3 linked regions of the Caenorhabditis elegans genome follow. The protein of the gene in region 2 interacts with the protein of the main gene of each other region in a pairwise test. Each region holds a gene or a part of one and is shown on either strand. Other genes may lie near its edges. The genes, in order: zip-7, ceh-6 and somi-1.

The links.
Region 1: the proteins of ceh-6 (region 2) and zip-7 interact in a two-hybrid assay, tested with the Caenorhabditis elegans proteins (one large-scale study listed by BioGRID).
Region 3: the proteins of ceh-6 (region 2) and somi-1 interact in a two-hybrid assay, tested with the Caenorhabditis elegans proteins (one large-scale study listed by BioGRID).

What each region holds. Positions count from the first base shown.
Region 1 is NC_003282.8:16,502,330-16,507,683, forward strand, and holds zip-7 (BZIP domain-containing protein), read right to left. Parts: upstream 3,354-5,354; 5' UTR 3,341-3,353; coding exon 3,224-3,340; intron 3,121-3,223; coding exon 2,926-3,120; intron 1,909-2,925; coding exon 1,801-1,908; intron 1,262-1,800; coding exon 1,124-1,261; 3' UTR 581-1,123; downstream 1-580. Other genes in the region: Y51H4A.935 (uncharacterized protein), read right to left, coding at 4,291-4,326, 4,633-4,767, 4,823-4,834.
Region 2 is NC_003279.8:8,497,522-8,504,220, reverse strand, and holds ceh-6 (Homeobox protein ceh-6), read left to right. Parts: upstream 1-1,616; 5' UTR 1,617-1,960; coding exon 1,961-2,134; intron 2,135-4,133; coding exon 4,134-4,588; intron 4,589-4,808; coding exon 4,809-4,911; intron 4,912-5,002; coding exon 5,003-5,137; intron 5,138-5,183; coding exon 5,184-5,285; intron 5,286-5,627; coding exon 5,628-5,801; 3' UTR 5,802-6,109; downstream 6,110-6,699. UniProt on the Caenorhabditis elegans protein: Vital for embryonic development and essential for the proper function of the excretory cell. Required for the transdifferentiation of the Y rectal epithelial cell to the PDA motor neuron during larval development.
Region 3 is NC_003283.11:13,385,465-13,393,091, reverse strand, and holds somi-1 (Zinc finger protein somi-1), read left to right. Parts: upstream 1-1,696; 5' UTR 1,697-1,706; coding exon 1,707-1,787; intron 1,788-3,601; coding exon 3,602-4,186; intron 4,187-4,614; coding exon 4,615-5,407; intron 5,408-5,448; coding exon 5,449-5,591; intron 5,592-6,296; coding exon 6,297-6,443; 3' UTR 6,444-7,030; downstream 7,031-7,627. Other genes in the region: Soluble guanylate cyclase gcy-34, read left to right, coding at 7,244-7,246, 7,447-7,520. UniProt on the Caenorhabditis elegans protein: DNA-binding protein which binds to the promoters of let-60, lin-14 and lin-28, possibly to regulate genes involved in hypodermal and vulval development.

The sequences.
Region 1 (5,354 bases), on a different chromosome or scaffold from region 2:
GAAACTAAAATTAACGGAAATCAATCAATTTTCTTCCTTTCCTGCTGAAAAATGCATTCTAAGCGCTGAAAAATCGGCGGAATTATGCAATTTTAGTGATTTTTAGATGTTTAGACCCGAAAAAATCATGAAAAAGCTATAGAAAAAATGAAAAAATGCAGAAAATCAGAGAAAACGAGCGAAAAATAATTTGAAAATGAGTTTTTCTGTGCAATTTGCCGTGACGGTGTTTGCACACGACGAAATCTACCGTACCCCCCGGGAAAATATTCAAAACTGGTTTTTCTTGGAATTTCGAGTTTTTTCGACTTTTTCCAGCATTTTGAACGAGTTTTTTGGGAAATTTAACGAGAAATTACTGAAAACGTTATATATTCCGTCGAAAAAGTAGTAAAAATCACTCAGGTGATGCTTTGCCGGGAAAATAATGGAAAAATCATTTTTCCGTCCAATTTTAGGGTACAATTAGCTGAAAAATTGAATTTCAGCATTAATTCTGGTCAAAAGCGGGAGGAAAATCCACGAATACCTCGGAAAATGAGCAAAATTCAGAAATTTCCGGGAAAAAGTCGAGTAAGCTGAAAAACTGTTTTATTATTAGAGAATTTGGATTTTAAAGTTGCTTTAGCTCGAAAATCAGCGAATTTAGCTTGAAAAACATGCCCAGAAAATGCCCAGAAAATCGGAGGAAAATGGGGAAAAATCTGAATACACCTATTTTCTGAGATTTTTCTCATTTTTTCGTGCGGAAAGTGTCAAATTACAGTCGGTACAGCTTCGAAGAGTGAAAAATCGACAAAATACAATCAAAAACTAACAAAAATTAAAGAAAAAACGCGAAAATTCGGAGAAATTAGCGAAAACTGAGCGAAAAATAATTTGAAAATGAGTTTTTCTGTGCATTCTGCCGTGACGGTGTTTGCAGACTCGGAATTGCTTACCGTAGTCGCTCATTTATTTTTTTTGAAAAAATGCATTTTTCTTCAAAAATAGCTATATTTTTACAGAAAATTACAAAAAAAAAGTGACGCAATGAGAGGGTGGTGTGTGGAAATTCGATACAGAAGCAAGGATTTGAATGTGTGTGCAAGAATGAGATGATTTTGTGTGGGAGGGGAGAAGCTTAATAACTCGGCATATTCGCCATGGCAATCGGGTCCATAGTGTCTATAGTGCCCGGATTTTGCAGGAGCAAATGTTGTCTCATCGATTCGTTTTGTAGTTGGAGCTGTTGGACGTAGACTCGCAAGCATTGATTTTCCTGGAGAAAAAATAATTATTAATTGATTGATAAAAATTTTATGCCGTCAGAACTAAGCCTTTTATCAGAGTTACTCTTTATTTTTAGTCCGAAAAAAAAGTAAAGTTAAACTTTAACGAAACAAAAAAGAAAAGCCACTCCCTGGAATTGATCCAACGAGTGCTCACACCGAACTGCGTCCACTACCTACTGCTCCAAACCAACAAATCTTTCCAACACCATTCTTGGTGAACATATCGAAAAGTGGAACACCATTAAGGGAACAAACGTTACTGTACGTGTGCACTAGAGCGCGTTTGCAAAACTATCAAAAAGTACTTTTAAAAGTGTCGGTTATCTACAAAAAGCCATCTGATATTCCCGAAATTTATTGAAAAATTGGGAAAAGTCGGCGTGGGCGCGTTCTCAAAGTTATTGCGTAGCCAGGCTGACACCTGTTGACTGATGACGTCATCAATTAAGCCCTTTTTTGGAAAAAAAAACCCGCCAAAAAAAATGATGCAAAGGATTATTATCTATGGGAAATTTTGAAAACGTACCCTCTCCAAATATGTTACACGAACACTATTGTCCTGATCGACTTTCTTGCGAGATTCTCTGGATTTACGGGCGGCTTCGTTGTTTCGGCGGCGCCGGTCGAGATAGGCCTGGAAAATTGGATTTATTCGAGAGGATTTTGGACTATTAGCTGTCGATTTACGGAGCTCGTGTACTCCTCGTGGAAGAGTTTACACTGGTTTTTTGAAGAAAAAAAAACGGCTGAAAAGCTTGATTTTGGCCAATTTTCACTGATTTTTGTTGGATTTTGATGGTAAATTGTCATTTTATGACATAATTTATAGTTTTTAACTCAAAAATTGCCGATTCAAACGTTAAATACAAGAAAAATCAGCAAAATTGGCATAAAAATACTTTTTTCAAACGAAAACCCAGAGAAATCAACTCCACGAGGAGTACACGGCCTCCGTAAATCGACACGTGGCTAGCTATTAATTCATACGACTTTTTAAATTCATACGACTTTTTAATTCATACGCCTTTTTAAGAAAAATACGGCTAAAAAACTTTATTTTGGATCTTTTTTGCTGATTTTTTTTGTATTTTACATTAAAATTGTCAACTTATCTCGATTTAAATGCAAAATACGAGAAAAATCAGCAAAATTGGTCCAAAATAACGTTTTTTCACTGAAAAATCAGAAAAAAACTCTATTTTCAGTTTAAAAAAATCAATTTTTCAACTTCGTGGCAGTGAAATTAGAGAAAAAACTCGGCCACCACTTTGAAAACCAGCGGAAATTAAAAAAAACAGTTCAATTTTCATAGCAGAACACGGTTTTCTGGCCTCATAAATTGAAATGGAAGAGTTTGCAGAACTAGGCCATTTTGGCTCGGCCATATCTGGGATAGATTTACGTCGCATTGCGTGTCGCGTCGCGGCTCGGATTTGTCCGTGTGGAGTACACGACACTCTCCCACTCGTTGTCCGGCGGGCGATTGTCAATGGAGCGCGAAACATTCAATGAGGAAAACCAGAACCCTGTGGCAGAAGGAATCCAGGAAACCTCGGCCGCCATTTTTTCTCGGCCACATCTAACACTAGCAGATCGGCCGTTTTTTTCTGGTGGCCGAGTTTTCTCATTTCTCGGCCATTTAATCTCTTACCTCATCCTTTTGATTTTCCGGCACCGGAACCGGTTTTTTCTTCTTACTCCCACTGCTGCCACTCTGCTGATTTTGAGACGACGTGGTGGATGACGTGGAAGACGATGACGGGGAAAAAGATGACGTGGCATGGGGATTCGCGTATGGCGCGAAATGTTGAGCAAAAAATGGGAGAGCAGTGGCTGCGGAGTAGTTCTAAGAAAAAAATTTAATTTTTTGTTAAAAAGCATTTTTGAAACAGTAAAAAAATTTTTTTACTTTTTCAAATTTCAGAAAAATTCCAAAAAAAATTACAAACCTTATCAAAAGCTCCTGCTCCATACGGATTCTGTGCGTACATCTGATTGAATGCCTTTATAGAATCCGAATCACACATTCTCGAGGCAGCCAGCTGCTGTTGAATGTCTGTCATCATCTGGAAATAATCTGGAAATTGGTGGAGAATTGGTGGAAAATGGCTAGAAATTTAGGAAAAAGCTTCCAAAGAACACAGTAATAAGTTGAAAAAAATTATAATAAAACAAATTTTTTTGAAACAGAATTTTTTTTAAATTTTCAAAACCAAAACCGTATTACTCAACAGTTACCAAACTATTACACCGGAACTTATGAGCTACCGCATGCTGAGAAAAAGTCTGCACGCAAACAGGACACCTCTACAGGCCCTACTAGACCCGCCTCCTCCCCCATTTGCCCACGGGGTCTCTAAAGACGGGCGGCTCTTTTTATGATGATTTGAACTGTAATGGCGCAATCGTTGCGTCGTTGTTCTCTAACTAACTAACTACCGTCTGCTGTTAGTTGAATAATGTACCGCAAAAGAGATTGGTGGTGGTCCTAAATGTATAACGAGGTGGCAATAGGTGGGCATGTCTTGGAGTTCCGTGGGGAAAACTGGGCATAACTTGAAAAGTGTAAGAGCTAATAAAAAGTTGTCAACCAACAAAATGTTTAAAATCAATTTTGCAATATTTTCATAGTTAAAATCTTTTTGATAACTTCAATAGCTAAGGAGATATAAGCCTTCAAACTTAAAAATCGGTAATTTTAGTTGGAGTTTTGCGCGAAAAACTACCATAACTGAAAAAGTATCGGAGCTAGTGAAAAGTTGCCAACTAAAAAAATGTTCAACATAAATTTATAAATATTTTCCCAGTTGACAACTTTTTGATAGCTACAATGGCTGAGGAGATACTACTTCTTCTGTAAAAAACGCTCGTACTTCAACTTGCTAACAATTTTCCCTTGTAAATTCCACTTGTTAAATGCTTCACATGAAACAGGCACCAATTCAAAAATTCAAAAATTAACACAAAAATCCCAATAAAACTGGTTTATTCAAGTGAAAAATGAGAATCCTGAAAATTATTGTGGCACGGCGAGCTCCTCGTAGTTGCCTTCCTGAAATCAGAATTGTTTCTTTAAAAGTAGGACCTTCCTCATTGCATTATTCGCGCTCTATTGACAATCGCCTGCCGGACAACGCGTGGGAAAGTGTCGTGTACTTCACACGGACAAATCCGAGCCGCGACGCGACACGCAACGCCCCGTAAATCTACTGAGCCAAAATGGCCTAGTTCGGCAAAACTCTTACATTTCAGAATAGGAGGGAAGGCAGAAACCTGTGGTACGTATCCCAAATCAGCAAAATTAATTAAACAATGCGTTGCGGTCGCGTTGCGGTCGCGTCGCGGTCACACAACTCACAGTTTCATCCTTCTTCTCCTTTGGAGCCCCTAACTTTGATTTATTTGTTCCTTCCGGAGAATTTGCTGACTTCTTCTTCTTTCCGCCACAATTCATCACCAGAGATCCGAAAATCACAAGAATTGGAAGCACGAGCTGTAAATTTCGGAGCATTTTTTGCAGGCAGGCAGGCAGGCAGGCTTAAACTGACTTGTGCAATCATTTGGCTTCTTCTTCGTTTCAGTGGAATGGAATTTTTAAACAAAATTCGAAACTGATTTTTTCGATTATTGATTTTTAGTTGGCGACTTTGAAAAAAAAACACGTTTTTTTTGAAAATTATTTCCCAGTTTCACGAAAAAATTAAAATTATTTTCAACATTTTTTTCCATTCAATACGTTTTCACGCGTTTCCCCCGATAATATTCAAATTTCCGTATGTCAGAATAGCGGTAAATTCAAAGAAATTACGCAAGTTTTTGGGGTATGTGTACTTGAACATACGCACACACAGATTATTGCGTTACCACATTAGGACCACGGGGGTATAATGAGTTGGGGGGTGTTGGCCTTGTGGCCGTGGAGGTGAAAAACCTCGGCCACTACCAACTTCTAATACGTCTATCTTGGTTCCGGATAAATTTGGAAAAAGTTGTCAACTGCGAATTTGTGGAAAATTTAATTTTCTATAATTTTGTGGTTAGCGATTTTTCAATAGCTTTTTTAGTTTTTAAGATATTTTT
Region 2 (6,699 bases):
TCAAATATAAATGAAAACCAATATACTTAAATTTTTACATAAATCCAACTAGAGTACCATTGAAATATCTATTTCGGTTATTCACAACAAAAACTCGATTCTAACTGAGTAAAAGATCATCCGAAGACAAGCGGAAATTGGCACAAGCTTTCAATCCGGCTTAGAGGAAAGCGAAATTCGAGATTTATTGAGTGGGAAGATATGGGGAAAAGTGAGAAAACGAACATCTTGCAGCTGGAGTCATAGTTACAGAAATCAAGACAAAACTTTTTTTCAAACAAAAAATAAAAAATTTATCGCGTTAATTTTGATTGATTTCAACTATTACTTGCAGATTAATAAAGTTTTGGAATACTAAAAATCTTGAAAAGCATCCAGACTTAAAAATATGTATGGGACATTTGCCTTATTTTGATCTACATAGTCACACTAGTATGAATATACAATCAAATTATAAAACATGTGCAATAAAACATGATGGAACTTCAGAAAAAAAAACTGGGTTAAACTAAGTGATAGGTCAGTTTAAGAGGCACATTTTCAACCGGAACTTCTTGACAGTTCACAGCAAATTTGAAACCAAATTTTGCAACTTTAGCGATGGAAATGTCTAAAGGATATTAAACAGCGGCAAATTTTCAAGTTGAAAGAAACGAACTCGAAATCTATTTTCCTGAAATAAAAAATATAGAAGGAACCTATCAGGGAATATAACGTCGGTGAGGAAATGAGGATGAAAGTGATGGAAGAAGAGAGAAAGGGGTGCGGGAAGAAGAGTTGAAATTCATTGCTCATGCAAATCTTATGCCGTGTGTCTCTGTATGTATTTGTATGTGTGAGTGCCTTCTTTTTCCAACCATTCTCATTCTTCGCCACCCTCATTTTTGTCTGTTTCCTTTATTCAGTTTTCGATCGTCTCAAGATTTTTGAGAAATTTCATGAAATTCGCTAGGTTTTCGATTTTTTCTACCTTCCAGAAGTAATTTTTTATTTGAAATATGTGTATTGTGTAAAGTTTTCTTGTTAAAAACTTACGGTGTCAACTTCCAACTGCTTTGGGATATTTTATTGCAAACATACACTTCTTTTTTTGTCTACTTTTCTGTCAGAAGAAAAATATATTCGAGTATGAATAACCACTGAATTTACTGTATTTTTTTAGTTTACAATCGATGAAGTTTTCAGCTGTATGGAAAAAAGATGGAAAAGATTTTTCACCAGGTTGTCAATACGTAACGCTCTTTTGCCAAAATCTATTGAAATTATTACATAATAACTATTATTTTAATTGTTATCAAGCGTTGGCTTTTTAATTACCGTCTTTCCTCTAATAGCATTACACTGTATTGCTCAACTTTGGCACCTCATATCTAGATTGTCTTTGGGTTGATCAAAATGTTAGCAACTAACAAAACATTGGGTATTTATTATCTATAGTTTTGTAAAAAAAATAAGTTGTAAAATACTTCAAAAGAACCGAAAAATAGGCTTTCAAAAAGAATAGGCGGATGCAAGATTTTACGATTGTTTTGAAACTTAGAAATCTTCCAATAATGTGTTTCTATAACTTTCAACACCTCTTCAAATAACTCCAAATAAATAAATGTATTTCTAGACACTAAACCCATATCTTCACAATTCTACAGCATCAATGTCTCATGACAGTAGGCGTGACCATCTTTACAAACATATCAAAGAATGGGCGTGTCCTGATGTCAATTCTCGTCGATTGGTTATACGATTACGGTGGCTAGACGAGACGCAGAAAGACCGCTTTCCTGCCAACACATTCCAAGTGGCTCCCGTGTGAAAAAGAGACGCAGCAAAAAGGGAAACGAAGAAGAAGAAGACCGCCCCTCTTTTGACTACTACCTCTTCCTTTTCTCTCTTCATTTTCAACACACACATCCCATCTTTTCCACAGTAGTGGCCACCCCGTTGCTCCTGGACTTCCCAACTGATGCTCATACCTTCGTCGTCATCCATACCGTCTTCTTTATCTGCTTCAGCATCCGATTCTGAGCCATCATCACTGAACGGAAGTGGTATAAGTGATCAGAATATTCTACCTAATTATCATCTTCATCATCATCTAATTAACGAGAACGAGATGGAGGCAGCCAATTATGCACAGGTTAGTTCTTCTTTTTATTCGTTTCCTCCCACAACTGATTTGATTCTGATGAGGACGACATTATACAGCGAGTAGGTCCAAAAAAGGAGGCAAGCGGGGGGGGGGGGGCACAGCATTTGAATTTCAATTTTATGCCAATAAGAATCAGCCCCTCGACTGCCCCATTCAGTTCTTCTACACTTGTTGCCTCAAACTCTAACAGTGTCTTACCGCTGTTACAAAGTTGTATATTGTACATTGTTCTGATAGATTGTTATTTTCTAGGCATAAAGTAACATTCATCTAGAAAATTAGTTGAGCTGATACTCCTATATTTTAAGGTGTCTCTGATAGTACCTCAACTGCTTGTAGATCGACAAATGATGTAGTTGTTTCTTTCATTTGTGTTCTGAAAGTATTAGGTGGAACCGTAAACCCAGAATTCTGATGTTCCTGGCAGTATAAAACTTTTTATATCCTAGACATAAAGTGCCAAGCTTCTGTAATTTAGTTGAGCTAAAACTTCAATAAAGTATTGTTTAGATTAACTACTTGTAGGAATGATAACAGGTAATCTAAATCTATATTTTCACTGGCATTAGGCTTTCATTTATACAATGTTTATTTTGTTATAAAAATTGTGAACTGTAACTCCAGATTTTTGAAATTCTTACAGAGCAGTTTTTTCATTGTGAAACTAAAATAATTAATTTGAAGTTGAAATATTAAACATTTGCTATTATAACTATAAAAAGGTCTACTAAACCGTCAAATTGGAAAATTGATTTCGAAATAATGTGGGGACTAATAAAAACTGCAAAAATTGTTTGGTGAAACCTTACCTACTTTTAGGAATAATCAACAATGCATTTAACTATAATTTTATAAAACTCTTTGAAATTTTTCTCATTGATGTTTTTTAACTGCCAATGACTTGGTAAAAGAAGTATAGAAGGCTTAAGAAACATTTTGGTCCTTGGTCAGTCTAGAATTCATGAAATCGGAGCCGTAATTTTTCATTATACTGGTTTGTAATTATATCCTTTTTAAACACCTCAATCAATATTTGTATTATTTTCCTATTCACTAATGTACCTTCCAAATATCCCAGAACAATACAGTATCACTAACACGAACTGCACGTCATCACATATCATTCTCTCTGTAAAACTTGATGACTCTTTTTCAATCCGATTATCAAAATTTCCGCCCTTTCTTCTGTTTCTAGTACATCTCTCTTCATGTACACAAACTACTACAGTACCCCTTGAGTCTCTCAAAGATCGTTGCATTCGTCTGTCTCCACGTAGATACCATGTATAATAGACTCATGAGAATCTTTGTGGGAAACAGTTATCAACAATTCAATATTATTTTGTCATGTGTGGAGCGAAAACCAACAGAAAAAGGAAGAGTTGATGATGTACTAGAGGGTAGAAAATTGGCAGATGTAGTCCCTAAGAAGGCGCCGTGCTAAAGAGGATTAAGATTGATTGGCCTCTTTTTTTCTCTAAGCTGGGTGTTCATCTGTTCAAGACTAAATTGGATCGAGGCCAAAATTGTAGGGCCAGAAAATTGAACGATTTTATATAAGCAGTGAGGGATGAAATAAGAAGCTCCGGGAACATTGTCACAGTTCATCAGAATACTTTTATTTCATTAATATGGCTGAACTTTCAAAAATTACTCGAAGGAGCTGCGACCCATAATGATGTTACATACAATCGTCTCAATCGATTAGATTTCATAATGAGATATTAAAAATCCTGATTTATGTTGCAAATTTGAACTGTGTGTTCCGTTTTTTCACTGATTTTTCACTGAATATACTTTTTTCAATTGGTAGGCGCACATACCATTTTGAATCCTTTAAAACAAGGAAAGTTATATCTTTTATTTTTAGCACACTTTTTAATAGTTTCGGAACGTTTCTTATTTCAAAAATATTTAATAAGCTGTCACTCGAAGTACCACGTATTTTCAAAAACGACATTACAATTCTAGCTGCAAAATGTTTCAGGTTATCAAACCAACATGCGAGGCATTCCAAGATTGGCCGCATACTCCAATGCTGTATCAACAACCTCAACTTCATTTCATGCTTCCACAACACGATTGGGCATATCCACATCTTGCTCAATCTCTACCTCCTCCACATCATCTAACACCGTCCACTGCAGCAGTTGCTGCTGCAACAATTGCCTCACAAAGTTCAATAATCAATCAAACGTCTGTGGTTACAAGTACACCTTCGTGCCAAATCAAACAGGAAGTTGAACGACCTGAAATTATTCAGAGGTTAATGCCTCCATGGCCACCAGCTTATCAATTTTCTTGTGATGATAGTGGATCAGTGAGTGGAGCTGGTGGACCACATCAGCCATTATCTGATATTTCCGATGATAGTGAACAGACGTGTCCAGATGATTTGGAAGGATTTGCAAAACAATTTAAGCAGAGAAGAATCAAATTAGGGTGAGTGAAAATTTTAAATGTTCTCTACACATAACTGTAAAAAGTTAAACTTTTGAAAATAACAATTTCGATATCTCAAACATTTCGAGGCAACGTTCTGTCAACCAGCTGGTACAATGCCAAAGTTGGGCAGAAAGTTATCCTCAAATTCTGATCAAATTGGAATTTATCAGTTGGCAATTCCTCATATTCTTTCATTTTCATGTTCTTCAATTTCCAGATACACACAAGCAGATGTAGGTGTGGCTCTCGGAACACTCTACGGAAATATATTTTCCCAGACAACAATTTGTCGTTTTGAAGCGCTTCAACTCTCTTTCAAGGTTTGTTGACTTTCATCCACATGACTTTCAACGGAAACTGTTTCTTGTTGCCGACTTTTCTATGTTTTAATTGAATTTAATTTCGTTATAGAATATGTGCAAACTAAAGCCACTTCTATTCAAATGGCTCGAGGAAGCTGATTCAACGACTGGCTCGCCCAATTCTACATTTGAAAAAATGACAGGGCAAGCTGGAAGAAAGAGAAAGAAGAGAACAAGCATTGAGGTAGTTTGTGTTTAAAACTGAAAAATGTTATATACCGGTGTTTCAGGTCAATGTAAAATCTCGTCTTGAATTCCATTTCCAGTCGAATCAGAAGCCAAATGCACAAGAGATTACACAAGTTGCCATGGAGTTGCAGCTTGAGAAAGAGGTAAGGATATTTTTCTATTTTCCGGAATTTTTATTACTGTGAACTTCGAATTTTTTTTACAGTAACTTGACAATGATTTGAGATTTTGATTATTATGAATGAGATTTTGATTATTAATTCATTTAATTAAAGTGTTTCTCTACAAAAAAAAGTGTCCCAATAAAATATAAAGTTTAGGTTTAAGTTTAGTTTAGTACGGTTTAAATACCGTTAATTAAAATTGCAAATGTAGAGTGTGAAAAGGGTGAAGAATGAGGCAAGTGAAAGGGGCGCCTGGAGCAAGTTAAACGCCTACCTCATTAAATTTTTCTGAAACTTCACTTTCTCAAAAGTATAATTTAGGTTGTCCGTGTCTGGTTCTGCAATCGTCGTCAAAAAGAGAAGCGAATAGCTCCAAATCAATACGATGCTCCACATCCAATGGCTTTAAACAATGGATATCCAATGACTGCTGACCTTTTCCCATATCAAGCCGTCGTCAATCATTATACTCAACAGAGCCCGAGACAACAATAGTTTTTTGTGATGCGTATTGATGTAGCAGTAATATAATAATAATAATACTCAAATGAATCACCGGTAATTTATAATGACAGAAAGTTTAATAGTTTTCAAACATCCTTCTCTGAAGAAGACCAACAGTATTTCTTTTCCCCTATTATTTTTTTTGATACAATCCTCTTCACTTCTCACATCATTCTGAAAATGGGTATTCGTTTTTTACAATTATTAATTAGTTCTATTGTGTATCATTTCTAAATTAGTTTCCAAACTTTTTATTTTGTTCGAATTCATTTATTTTATAAATATCTGTACGTTAAAATGGAAGTAGCATATTTTAATTTAGATGTCTGCTGAATATAATTATATATAACTGTCTTTTTTCAGAGTAGGTAAAAATCAGAATTTAAAAAATTCAAAAAAGGAAATTTGATCTAGAGCATAAGCTTTCGAATAACTCATATAACTTTAAAGTTTTAAAAAAGTTCAAAATTTTCAATTTTGCAAATAAAACTGAAAATTACTGAATTAATGTATTTCTCAATTGGACTTGCACACTTTTGCTCTATTATGACAGCTGTATCCGTTATCATTGTCTCAGTTGTCTCTGCATTTATCAAAAATTGTCAACTGTAAAAAGACGTGCAAAATTTTTCTCTATATTTTAATTATTACAACTTTTTGATAACAGTTAAGACATCCGATAAAAGTCTATAAGTCGCCGAGCCGTTGGGGGAAAATCTACTAGAACAACTACGGTAGTTTTGAATTCCCGCACAAATGAATGACCTAGTTGTGGGAATTTCATAAAAATTAGAAATTTGAATTTTTTGCAAATAGGAATAATAATCATAAAAAATTAGAACAATTCTAAAAATTTTAAAAATTTTATTAAGCTATAACAGTTTACTTT
Region 3 (7,627 bases), on a different chromosome or scaffold from region 2:
TCCACAAACGATGTAGCGATTTTTCAAACGAATTGAACTTTATGTTTCACAGTTCGAACAGCTTTCACAATTTCTTGAATTTTTGAAACTTCCTCGAAGTTTTGAAAATTCAAAATTTTCTGTACCTTAATATTATGTACCTTAATAATAACTTAATATTAATGTAGACGTTTTAGTTTTAAGTGAACTTATATAGCTCAAGTGAAAATGAAAGCATCATAGAACTAAAAACTTTTTTGCAAACCTTAATTGACCGAGGTTATGTGGATAAATGCTGGCCCAATCTATTATTTTTTCAAATTCTTTTTCTGATTAAAACCACCGCTCTGAGCATCAAAAATCTGATTTTATAAATATGAAGGTACTTAGACAGGTGTAGCCAATGTGACAGTGAACCACCACATGCGCATTATAATCTGACCTCTCCAATTACCGCAAAGCATAGAGATGAACCCAAACCAGAAATAATTTGTGCCATACATTTGATATACCCAGAAAATGTTGAGCAAGAGCTTCAATATGGCACATTCAGGCCATGTTCTGTTTTATATCAATGATTCGGTAAAAAACTGAAAAAAATTCTTCCGTGAAATTGAATTTGAGCATATTGTTCAAAGAGAGTGTAAGAGAAAAATTAAATGACAATTCCCAACCCGAGTAAAATCAAAACCTAAAATCATAGATGTTTTTTTATTTTATAAAATTTTAATAAAAAACAAATTTTCAACAATATTCCAAATATTTTTTTCATTAAATTTTTTCCCTAATTTAAATGAAAAATATCCGATTCCAGTACAGTAGGAACCTTTGTTTCAAAACTACGTGCTTCAAGGATATTTTCTCGCAAAAAATATAGTTTTTCAAGGTCTTAAATATTGCGTGATTAGCGCGGCGATTCTTTGCTTTTTGTTTGACCAGTAGAAGCAGTGAGAATAGCAGCAAAACTATCCAATGTCGCTAACTTAACTTCAACCTTGAATTTCTATGGCTTTTCACATTTCATGTGACCAGTCGGTTGTGTCCACACACACACCATGACTTTGCGCGAAATGTTTCACCTTTTCACGACGGAGATCGACGATTTTTCGTCCCCTTCCGTTTGACTAGACTACTGTAAAAAATATTGTTGGAGGGAGAGTGTGGTGACTGCTGTTGCTTCTGTTGCTTCTATTGCTGGTGGTGGAGACTAGCGGATGGCATGGAACAAAATGTCAAATAAGTGAGTTTGTTCGTCTCAACAAGAGCCCGCATACACATCGAGCGTCTAACACAAATTTAGTTTTCGGGAGGGGCTTGTAGAAGACTTCGACGCTACATCTACATCCGGAGCCCTTCGCCATGCAATTCGGACGACTGATTTGGTTATTGAAAGCATGGGGCAAGAGCTAGAAACTACCAGAAGCTACTTTTCCTTTAAAAAATTCTGACAAAAGAACAGAGAGAGGATACCGTGGGAAAATCGGAAAAAGTTCATCATCTGTGTTTTTCCTTCTTCTTCTCTTTTCCTCCCATTTCTCCTTTCCCTTTCATTTTCAAATTGGTCACTCTTCCTCTATTTCTCTTTATATTTTAGTCTCTCTTTTATCTTCCTCCCTCTATCCCTTTCTTGACCCTTTCCCTCGTTTTTTTCTTTCCCATTTTCTTCACCTCCGTCTTCTCTCCTGAAAGAGATGATAGAAAATGATCATAATCTTACAGGGAGTTGCATGCTCAAACCACCCATTATCACCAGCAACGACAATAACAACACAAAAGTGGCTGAAAACTTGAATGATTTGAATAATAAGGTATGAACTCACTAACCTACACTGAAGGATACGGTCATAGGTCCAATCATTCCAAAAGCTCCGCCCATTAACCTTGGGTGCCCCAATGTCCATTGCACTGATAAAACATCAGACAAGTGGTGGGAGGGAAGAGAAGAGCCGTGGCGCTCCCCCATAACGTCTCTAAGTCTCCAAGAAAGAATACTGTAGGTATGTGGGTAGTTGTAGGAGGCACAGGAAGACCTTGAACCGATAGCATGCATCGTTAGGGTAAGGAAATGTGATACCATCTCGCAACATTCTCCTCTCTACGTCTCCACTTACTACGGGTTACTACTACTACGATTTTTCTTACCTTACATGAAAGTTTCTATATTTCAACAAAATTTTTCATTAGCTTTTTTACTTTTTTTAAGTCGAAATTCCAGAACATTCATAGACCATTCGCTGTCATATATTTCTCCGGCAAATTAGCTTCGACCGCCGCCATCTTAAGCATTAAAAGTTAATTTGACCTTTTGTCCCCCTCTCGGTTTTCTCTTTTTTCATGAAAAAGTTTGATTTACGAGCGTTGTCTTGTGACCAGTTGGAATTTCCAAACTTCCAACTTTTACTTTTTATTTTTGTGACTATAGAGGCCACCGGATTATGATAATAGTGATAGAACTTAAATTGTATATGCAAATTTTCGAAAAAAGTTCTAGAGCGGTTAGTAGTTTTTCCATAGTTCTGGAAGTTTTGTTATACGTGTTTGAGAATAAAAATTCAGCTGCTTGAATTTGAATGTTAATAATTTTTTTAAATTTCAAAATTCATGAAAGCTTAAAAACTACCATTTCTAAATTTGTGAATAAGGCCACGTTTGTTTTTTTTTAAATGGTTATCAAGCTTTGGGGTACGGATACTACGTAAGTTTTTCTATTACAAATTCCAAAGGCCCAATTAATTTTGTGATAATTTTCTAAAAATCATTAACTATTTTATAGCAAGATCAATCTAGACCAGAACACGTACGAGCTTTCCGAGTAATTACTTTTTATTTTAGGAAACAGGATGTTTCTGATTATTTTTGTATTCTGGATTTAAAAATTTAAAGATCTGTCATATATTTGCTGGAAAGGTTCAAATTCAATAGATTTCACATCTTCTCGGCGTTTGCCGCCAGCTTCCTACCCAAAGCTTCGCAACTTCTTACCCAAGCCTTGCCCAAAAAATAAAAACATTTATAAGGAGTTGCCAAGACTTGGCTAAGACTTGGGCAAGACACGGGCGAGGGAGTTTACACTAGAATTGTTGAAGTTGGGTAAGACTTGGGCATACTCTGGGTTAGAAGTTGGCAAGAGTTGGGTAAGAAGCTGAAAAGGTCCAAACTTGGGGAAGAAGCTGCCGGGAATTGCCGAGATTATACTTCTGAAGCACTAAACTACATTATTAGTCTGTCTCATTTTTTTCTTTTAAAGCTCACGAATTTTTTATTAAACTCAATTTCTCAAACTTCTCCTTATCTTTAGTGTCCACCACATTGCGCTCCCCCCAATCAACGCAGCTTTCTTTCCATCGACCCTCCAATCATTTCCATGATCACTTTTTATCACGTCTGATTTACTCTCCTCTGGTTGATTCATTAATCTTCCCCTTCTCTACCTAAATTATTTTTCTCTATGTTCTCCGAACCATCCATACTGTTTACTGGTTCCCTTATCTTCCCACAGAATCAGTAGCCACTTGTACCTCTCGCGCGACACCTTCTCAGACTCGAGTACTTTTGAGGCATACAAGAGTACAAAAATACTGATCTAGGTCATTGTGAAGTATAATAATTGAACATTTTTCAGGGGAAAATGTCTGGTCAACAGATTGAATCCTTCTCACCTTGGCACGCTCAAACGTCGTCGTCAGCCGTTACAGGAACATCAGAACTGTTTGGATCCACGTATGCGATGTTGAGTGATCATTCTGTCTATCCAGAACAATGGTCTGGAAAGCAATTATCTCAATCAGTTCTTTTCGAGCAACCCCAAATTCAACCATTGGTTGGTAATTCCTATGATCCTCCAGTACGATTTGATCCACCATATGCTTACCGTGCCACTGCGACAGGTTACATGCCAACAGTACCAGGGCTTTCTACAAATTCAAGTCCATATTATCCAAGGACATCCGGTTATGCCGCTGGCCAACAATTTTATGCTCCATCTCTGTCCGGTGTACCAAATACTCAACAGCTTATATTGGCTGCTCAAGTTGCACAAGCAAGTAATGTACAACAACAATTACAACAACAAGTTCTTCGACCTGAACCACTTCGACCGGCGACACAAAAATCTACGAATGGAGTGCATAGAAGCACCAGTAACAGTAGCGCAGAAACATTAAGGAATAATTCTGTTTCAGCTGCAACTGTTTCACCCTCAGACGATGTGAGTTTTCATTTGAAATTTTATAATTAAAAAGTGTTAGCTTGTTGCATTGCTCATCTTCTGCAGATCATATCTTGAAAATTTTTTTTTAATCAATAAGTGAGCTGACAAAATATTTGATTTTTTCTACAGCACTGTAGTTAAATTTTTTTAAATGAAATCTCTAACAGAAACCAAGCAATAAGTTGTAAAAAGAGACTGAAATAAGGCTATGTAGCTGGAAAAGTTGACTAAGCTTTTATTAAATTATCTCTAGAAATAATACATAAAAATATGGGAATGGTATATTTCTACGATATTTGTTTTATGATATTTGATGTAAATTTTGATAAATCTAATTTAACTACATAGTTTAGATTGTCGGATTGTAGGACATCAAAGAGAAATATTTATTTTCCTGTATATATTGCTAAATATACCATTTTCAGAATTCTCTGAATAGTCCCGCTTTGACGTCATCTGGATCCGCTGGCTCAGGAACTCCACCACTCGGGATTGATCTAAACAACACTGATCTCGAAAGCGGTGACGAAGAACGCGTGATGTGTATGGCTTGTCGAGGTGTCTATCCATCACGTCGAAGTCTCACGGGGCACATTGGACGAAATGAGAAGTGTCGTGAAATAATTGGCAGAAACTATTTAGATGCCCTTGCGCAAGGTGTGAATCCACCGATCCCTGGTACTGATGCAGCTATCAAGTCTGGAGCAATAACCACCGGAGCCGATGGAATGTCACCAGTTTGCCCGTTTTGTGATCGATTTATTAGTCATTACAAAGGAAACATCAGAAGACATATAAATCAGTGTCGAAAGAGTGCAGAGCCAATGAAAAGGCATCGAGTTGAAGCTCATGAAAAACAATCTCCAAAAAAGAAGGTAAAGAAGGAACAAAATGAAATGTATCAACATGAATACAATGATCATGATTCTTCTTCAATGAGTGGTGGAATGATGAATTCACCAAAAATTTCACCTCCATCTTCCTCATTCTATGGAGCCAACTCTTCAGACTTGTGCTCTCCAGGAGAATATTCCAATTCCGCATACGAACCATACCCGACACCAATGCTCGAGAACACAGAAAGAACATCAACAGAAACTGCAGTACTTCAAGATGCCTATATCTGCGAAGATTGTGATTTTGTGACAGTGTACAAGGGAAACATGAAACGTCATTTAAACACGTGCCATCCGCAGCCTGAATTTAAAAGTTTGAAAGGTAATAGTATCGAGATCGACCCAAACGGTTACTTTTTTCAGAATGGGATCAAAAGTTGGAAGGAATGCGAGCTTCGAATCTTGGAATCAGTGGAGATCGGCTACAGGAACGATTGGCAGCTCATAAAGCAAACTCCTCGAGAGGAAGGAAGCCACGAAAGAAGAAGGAAAACAACACAGAAGAGGTTTGTTTTTTTTGTTAGTGAATTGTTTAAATTTAAAATTTTAAATGCAAAAAAAAATTTCAGCTGGATAATTAATTTATCCTGAAAGTTGTTATTAAAATTCCAAATTTCCGTTTGACTGACTTGTATTCAGAAGGTCTTTCTTTTCGACCTACGAAAATTTCGGGAAATCCATTATTCAGTGACGTGTTCATTTACTGAAGTCTAACAGTAAAACTCGTATGACCTCATGCCATCAAAAAATTATCCTTAATGTTCAATATTTCTGTAAACTCTGAAATTTGATGTCCTAGCCTACTCTTTTTTTTCAAAAATTTTGCCTTTATCCCGACTAATTAACAGAAACAAACCACACATGATTCTTTCAAATGTAAAATACAGTCTACTTGAAAAAAGTTGTTTACCTGCCACAAAAACGTAAAAACTAGTAGCCGAGTAGTACTAACTAATCAATTTTGTACTATAGGTTTTGTTGATAAACTATACTGAAGTTAAAAGACCGGAAGCTCATTTAGATACTGTAGAATTCTTGAGTGTTTCGAATGAAAACAAAAATGAGGTAGTTAAAGGGAATGGATGCTTTCATTTGTAAATTAAACAAAAAATTGATTTTAAAAAAATTGAAAATCTTGACAAAATTAAGACAATTTTCTCTCATTGTCAATAAAAAATGTACATCAAAGATGAATATTGTTTCTTTTTCAGAGCGAATCAATTGATTTCAAGAACATTCTCAACTCGGAAACTGGTGCTCTTCTTGAATCGTTAGCATCCAGTTCATCTTCAATGGGAGGATATTCCAATGGAAATAACTTCCAACCACCACCTCCACCCCCACCAATGCTTTTGTAAATATTCTCTAAAATTTCTATTAAAGGTTTTCATCTAAAATGCTCAATTTTTAACTTTCCGTTTTATCAACTATTCAATCTGTCATCGTATTCTGATACATTTTGACAAAGGCAACGATTTTGTCTCGGTCCATCAACATATCTCATTCCACGTTTCAACTCCGTATGCTCATGACGTTTCTTTTGCCACGTCATCTTTCATCTCTTCTGTTCATTTCTTGCTCTAATCTTTCTCTCCCCCAACGATGACCAGTGCCATGTTTTGTGATTAGCAACAAACCGTCTAGTTAGCTTCTCAGAGATTTTTATGTTTAGAAAACCCCCTACCATTACCAATTGTTTGTATCTCTCGCTAGGTCCACACACATTTCACAAAATCCTCTTGTTTTCTCCCGGCTTATTTCCTTGTTCCCTTTATTCTTTCTTTCCTCTTCAAATTTCTACTTTTTATCTACTCAGGTGCTACTCTAAATATATAATTTTTGCCAACATCCTTATCCACAAAATAGGAAACAATTTTTCTATTGATTTGCCATCATTTTATGAAAAGACTTTTATTCTCATTTTAAGATGAACAATTTTCTCAAAAAAATGTTTGAATTTGTTTACAAGGAATAGAAAGTCGAACATATGACCGCCCAGTATCGTGGTAGTATCATGAACAATTCACGATACGGGGTCTTCACAGCAACTAGAATATTCATAATTTGGTAGGCACGCGATTTCATTTAATGTTTGATAGATTCATTTCATTTCACGAGAGTAGATTCCTCTCTGCAGCTGTTCAAAAAACTTCTCAAAATGGTAAGATTCTAATAAAATTGAAAAGAAAACAGTCCTTTCAATATCCCGTATTTAATTTGAGTTTATGTGTAGAATTCGTCCGTTTAAAACTTAGAATATTCTAAAGCGGAAATTAATTCCGCACTATATTTTATAGAATTCAATAATTGGCGAAAGTGTTCTTCTGTTAAAGAAATTATTACTTTCATAACTTGTTTCAGTTTGGTTTCATTCATGAAAGTATTCGACAACTTGTTATTCGAAAATATGGTGAAGATGTGTGGTTGCAAGTTCTGTGAGTTTCAAAAGTTTCAAGATAAAAATTATTTGATTACTATATACTTTTTCGAGTTTCAATACTTCAATTACAATTAAAATCATGGTTTTACAATGAATAAAACA